2 linked regions of the Arabidopsis thaliana genome follow. The protein of the gene in region 2 interacts with the protein of the main gene of each other region in a pairwise test. Each region holds a gene or a part of one and is shown on either strand. Other genes may lie near its edges.

Region 1 (4,050 bases), on a different chromosome or scaffold from region 2:
GCAAAGAGATACAACGTTCTTGTTGCAACAGATGTTGTAGGACGTGGAATTGATATTCCGGATGTGGCTCATGTCATAAACTACGACATGCCTAAACATATAGAGATGTACACACATCGTATCGGACGTACAGGACGTGCTGGGAAAAGTGGTGTTGCGACTTCGTTCTTGACACTTCATGATACCGAAGTCTTCTATGATCTGAAGCAGATGCTTGTTCAGAGCAACAGTGCGGTGCCTCCTGAGCTGGCGAGACATGAAGCGTCCAGATTCAAACCAGGTACGGTTCCTGATAGACCCCCAAGACATAGTGACACTGTCTATATAAATTGAGTCGATAGGCTCTCTGGATTTGTTCTTAACTTTCCCAGTGACGTTTACCTTTTGGGATTGATCTCATGCGTGTGCTTAGTCGCATGTTTTATCTTTAAGATTCGTAGTTTGATAGTGAAGGAAGCAGTAGCAAGTGTAATAGTTGAAACTTGAGTACCTTTTTAAAACGATTTAGTACTGGTCTTGTTCAAGAAAAGTATCTTTGATTCTCTGCCTAATTTTTCCACATATATATCTCCTCTTTGTGTTTTAAATTGAAAATTGATGCTCGAGACGATGCTAAGCAAGAGACAACAATGCAATTTGGTTATGTGGAAAATGACTTCGCGAACTCGACCTTTCCTTTATCCTAAAACACTAAGAGAATGTGAAATATTCTTTTGTAATATCTAATGCCCCGTGGTGGATTTGTCTACAACTACTATGTTGCATTGTTATATGTGGGTTTGTAACAAATAACTCAACTACTTTTACTTATAATGAGAGCAGGATTCTTTATTAACACTTAAAACATATAAAAACCACATGAAACCATAAAAAACAACACCGGTATACTTAAAAAACAAAAACACATGAAACCAAAACACCGAGACAACAACAAAAAAACAGAAACAACACCAATCACTTGTTTGACGATTACATAAAGAAAATAAGAATCTCTCTGCAGAGCCTCCATAGCTAGTGAGGTCCTATGGACTTGGAGGAAGAGGAGCTGAATCCATTGTTTCGGAACGAGAAAGCACACAAAAATGAAGCTTAGATTCAGAACGATCCCAATACATTCCAATCACATCGCCAACCTGCAAACCTCTTCTGTCGACAAAGCACTTACGCCATCCGCTGACGAGAACAAAGCTTGAAGATTTGGCCCATTTCTTAAGAGCCAGATTGTGCACAGAGTCAGTGTCGTGATCATACACCTCGACTGCTAATCCAGAGTCTTCTTTGACCATCATTTGATCATCCAAAGGGAGATATCTCAGAATGTGGATGTCTACAAAGCTCGCCTTTAGAACAAGACGGTATAGGTTGCCAATACTGCTTTTGGTCATTGCCATCTTCAAGGTCCATGGGTCAGCGACGGTGAGGAGAGTTAGTTCTGTCGAGACGTAGTACTTCTCCTCTTCTTTTCTTGCTCTCTTCGACATAGTCCTCATCCACGCCAGGTTTATTGCTTCTTCGGACGTTGGTTTATTGTAAGCAACATTGGGATCATGTGGCCATGTTTTGTCATAGAAACACAGATCCAGGGAGACCAAACTCTCTTCAGCGTTTTCTGGTGACTCCGTGTCCAACAAGCAATGAGTATTTGAGACTGAGTTGGGAGCCATATCCAAGACTGAAGCAAAGTGAAAAACCTGACCAAAGGATCAAAACTCTTTTCTTTAGTCATATATTTTTTTTAGTAAATAAATGGTTTCTGAAAAGCGTTTCTTAAATTTTACATTTACAAATATTTTCATATTTTATGACTAAAAAAAAAAAATCAGATCGATATGAAATAATTTAAGAATATGTCCAGAACATCTATATTGATTCAAATATTAGGGATTCTCCTGTATATCTGGCCAAGATCGCTAGTGGTTAGTACCTTTTTGATGATCCACGGATCCTTGAAGAGTGTTAGTTCTGTTGAGACACCGTACCATTCGTCCTCTGCCTTTTCTTGATACGAGAGATTCCTCATTCGTGCAATCTTTCTTTCTACTTGTGTTAATTTGTAGTCTCTTGGTATGCAAGAAATATTGAGAACTTCGTCAGAGTTCATCTTCCTCTTATTAGGGTTTTCACAAGACGACAAAGAAAGAGTTGTGGAGACCAAACTCTTTTTAGAGTTTTCCGATGACTCGTCGTGGAACAAGTATTGAGTCTTCGACGCAGAAAAGGGAGGAGGCATCTTCATTGCCGAGGATTGGAGGTCTTGGGGTAATTTTTGCAGATTTTGGATCATTCTCGTTCGATTCTCAAGATGTCGTCGAGAGTTTCTTTATCTTAGACTCAAGTTCAGAGAGCTAAGGGAACGTAGATATATAAATAATTTAGTAGCCACCTTTGCCTTAACTTTTTCAGGTATTTTCCTGTTTAAAAAAGGAAATCCATTTGTTATAGAAAAAAGGAAAATGATTTATGTGAAAACTGAATATTACCTTTGTAGTTATTTTTATTCTGCGTTTGAACTATGAAGCTGTTAATTTTCCATTTCTTAGGGTTTGGGTTTCCTATGAAGATGAGTGTGCGTCTTAGACTTTTGGTGCCAACTATCTCTATTTGCGTGAATCAATGTTCAGATTTAATATGGTTTGTGTTATCATAAGAATTTTATTTCAATATAGATGGTCATTACTATGACAAGAGATATTCAACCTACATGGGCTAGCGAAGCCCACAACATAGCCCAATACAGCTAGTTTTCTTTTTAAAATGCAGTCATGCAGATATGTGTTCAATAAGTTCTGTTTTGTTTTAATGTGAACAAAGAGGGAGGATCGGAGCTTTTTCAACTTATAAGATTTTAAGTTGAATTTGTGAATTAATTGTGGTAAAGATCATTGCAAGAGTGATGAGGACCTACATGAGCATAGATCGTGTTCCGGACAAATCTGCCCGATTCAGAAATCAGAATCCTCATTGGTTAGGCGGACATATCACATATGTAAACGACTTTATCCATGACTAAGCTAGTGTAGGCGTGTAGCCACACAAAAAACTTAAGAATATTGTGGGGTTATTTTTGTAGTATTCATTACCATTTCCAAGAAGTATAGCTACCGATGATTTGTTCACTAGTATAGTGGCCGCTATTGTGTTGTCGTGGCCATGGATATTGACTTGGTAACTAATTTTGTAGCTGGTCACAACATAAAGTTTTGTAACAATTCATATACGTAACATGAATTGTCTCATAAACATACAATACCAATAGAGACTGTGGAAATGCCACCCTCACAAACTGTATATACAGATATGAACTGTTCTATAACTTGCTACATAAAGTACTAGTAAACCAATTGAACCCAAGCACAAGTTACTCCAAAACAATATACAAGTTACTCCGTAACTCAATCTCAGCAAGACGACATTTGCGCAGCTTCTCAAGACTGATGCAACCGTGTGGCTCCACTAAAGCTCTTTTATTGAATCTCATAAAATTCTCTTGTATATGTTCCCTTGTTTTTATACCTTTTTGGCAAAGTAGCAATTATATTTATAGGTCTAACTTCTTGTACGCCCCAACTTTCATTCCTTACTGATATTTACAATTTAGCAACAACAAAAAAAATAAACACAAACAAATATCGATCAAAGCGTTCTGACTAGATCATGTGGTTTAGATCAAAATTAAAGCACTATCGTAACTAAACATACGTAATTTATTATAGTATTACAATGTGTTCATCTAATTGAATAGATGGCATACTAAGTAAAAAAGATGAATGCAACAATCAATGTATATACATAATTCAATAAATACTTAATTAAAAGATATAAATACAAATATAACACTAGGTCAAAGTTGGCCAATAAGAATAATTCTTTTGTGGCAATCATATAGACTACGGCATGGTCTTATGCTATTGGTGTGAGATTGGAGTTGATTTGTTCGTGCGAAGTTTGCTCTGACTATAATATTCAATGTTGACCACATATTATGTAAGCCCATACGTCATCTAGGTCTTTAAATCAATATCTTATATGACACACTTTTAGATTCCCCAT
Region 2 (2,668 bases):
CTACGGCTCTCCCCATCATCATGACCATACTTCTACTGCGGTTATGCCTTTCATGAGAGCGATCTTCGTGACTATAATGCCTGTAAGGGCTCCTATACTTCCGCAATGGCTATGCCTGTTTTTGTATCTTCCATATAACTGCCTCCTCAATCCACTGTCAAGAGAGTCAGGTGGTTTTAGTACAACATAGGAAATCTATATGAACCACACATGACAAAAGAAGAAACATGTGACATGCTAATGCTTTTTACTGTTGAATTTTGGGATGATTTATGTACGAAGCTACTTGTCAACAGTACGAGGAAGATACTTGCAAACAAGTAGCTTCGTACATAAATCATTCCCAAAATTCAATCTCCTGAGGAAGAAAAAGTTACAAACCTCGAAATCTTTTTGCATACATCAACACCAGGAGTGATAATATCGGGACGTTGATTGATGATTTTGCTGCAGATCATGTACAAAGAAAGGCTTTATTTACTTGAACGATTATGCAATGAATGTTTTGAAGGATGTTCTGTTGTCCTCTGTTTTTTTTAGTTGTCGATGTTCTCTTTTCATCAGATTAATTAGGAATCGTTTTTATCACAACTAAGAAATGTAATTTTCTTAAGTTAAAATTTTTTTTTAGGGTCCTTCTCTCGTGATTGTACTGGGTCCAGAAATTGTTTGAGCCGGCCCTGCTGATACGTATTCGAAAGGAGAAGCGTTGGGCTGATACTTGGTTTGGTGTAGAGACGAGAGCATCGATCTCCGTTACGACAAACGCCGATTTTGAAGTAGAAAGGACAATTCACGCGATCTTTCTCCGTTCCGTATATTGACGCTAAGTGCTCGACCATCTTCCGATTGCTTTTTGAAGAACACGAAACTCTTTTCTTCTTCTTGGACTAGGGTAGGTCTCTCTCTGATACTTGCTATGCCTATGGATGTTTCAAGAGATTTAAGTTTATTTACCTTTTTACCCCTTCTGTTTTAACTATTTTCAATCCAACCACAAACTTATGTTAAATTTGGCCAAAATGCGATTGGGCTGAAGCCCATAATCTATATAAGTGAAGAAGACGAGCGCTGCAAGAACGGTTCGACACAACAGTGTCAGTGCTAGTGAACAGTCAGGTTATAGGGTTTCGTTGCTTTGGTCGTCCTTAACTTTAGGCTTTGATAGTTTGGTTGTGAAGTTCAATGGGGTATGAGAAGTTCACTTGGGTGATTAAGAATTTCTCATCTTTGCAATCTAAGTACATTAATTCTGATAAATTCGTTATCGGTGGCTGCAAATGGTAAGAAGAAGACAAGTTTGTTATATCTCTAATTTTGTTTTTTTGGTCCAACTTAGGGTTTATGAGAACATCTTTCCATTTTTTCTATGGTTTTTTTGCTTGCAGGTTTCTTAAGGGATATCAGAATGCTAATTATTTGTCTCTGTTTCTGATGGTTGCTACTTCAAAAACATTGCCTTGTGGATGGAGAAGATACACACGATTTCGCCTAACTGTTGTAAATCAACTTTCCGATGAACTTTCCCAACAACGAGGTGATTTCTATAAGGCTTTTGGACAAAGCAAAGTTCCTATTTTTGTGATTTATATTTCTGTCTGCTTGTGTTTGTTTTGAGTTAGATCAGTTCTATCTTTTCTTTGTCTATAGAAACGGAAACATGGTTTGACCAAAACGTTGTTCTCTCTGGGAATCGACACATGATTTCCCTTACCAAACTTAATGCGAAGAAAGGTGGATTTCTTGTGAACAATGAAGTCAAGATTGTTGTGGAGGTTGATGTTCTTCAAGTTATTGGCAAATTAGATGTTTCAGAGGGATCTCAAGAAGTAACTCAACCTCTGAAAAGGATAAGGCTAAACGATGATGGTGTTTCCGTAAAACAAAGCATTGATGTCAATGGGTTTCAGGTTCTTCCTTCACAGGTAACAAGTTCATAAAGATTCAAACTTTTTAGATGCTTTTCATTAGATAGGAGGAACTGATTTCAGATGCTTTTCAAACTTATAAGTCTTACCAGTTCCTTCTTTGTTGTTGCTGACTTTGGATTAGAGGTGGTCTCTTTTTCTGTTTAGAAATTATCAGTAGAACACTAAGACAATGTAGGGAATAAATGGCATCTTTATAATCTAACCATTCAGTTTGTGGATACGTATACAAACTATACATGAGTTTATACTTTATCCATCTTTTTTTACAATTGTAGGTGGAATCGGTGAAACGTATCTTTGAAAGACACCCAAACATGGCACTAGAGTTCCGAGCAAAGAACCAACATGTGAGGACATCATGTATGAATGTCCTCCTCAGCCTAATCGATACACTGTGCCAGTCACTGCAAGACATTTCCATTGATGACCTGGGCCAGGCAGAGAAAGCACTAAGATACCTGAAAGATTCGGACTTTAAGGTGGATTGGTTAGAGCGTAAATTGGAGGAAGTGAAGGAAAAGAAGATGGAAGAGCAGATTGGTAAGTCTCGGATGCAAGAACTAGAGGAAGAGCTGAAGATCTTCAAGCAGAAGTGCTCTGACATAGAAGCTCAACTGGAGAAAGAGAAGCAAAAGTGCTCAGACATAGAAGCTTTGCTGGAGAAAGAGAAGGCAAAGTCGTTGGCCGCTGCCAGAGCTCCTCCTCTAACGTTGGATGATGTTGTTTGATGACTTAGG

What was found.
Region 1: the proteins of AT3G44785 (region 2) and AT2G33720 interact in a two-hybrid assay, tested with the Arabidopsis thaliana proteins (one large-scale study listed by BioGRID).

Annotation. Positions count from the first base shown.
Region 1 is NC_003071.7:14,261,962-14,266,011, reverse strand, and holds AT2G33720 (AP2/B3-like transcriptional factor family protein), read right to left. Parts: upstream 2,281-4,050; 5' UTR 2,237-2,280; coding exon 1,925-2,236; intron 1,692-1,924; coding exon 1,023-1,691; 3' UTR 810-1,022; downstream 1-809. Other genes in the region: AT2G33730 (P-loop containing nucleoside triphosphate hydrolases superfamily protein), read left to right, coding at 1-333.
Region 2 is NC_003074.8:16,327,607-16,330,274, forward strand, and holds AT3G44785 (Zinc finger C-x8-C-x5-C-x3-H type family protein), read right to left. Parts: upstream 843-2,668; coding exon 615-842; downstream 1-614. Other genes in the region: AT3G44790 (TRAF-like family protein), read left to right, coding at 1,186-1,283, 1,389-1,537, 1,651-1,925, 2,207-2,659.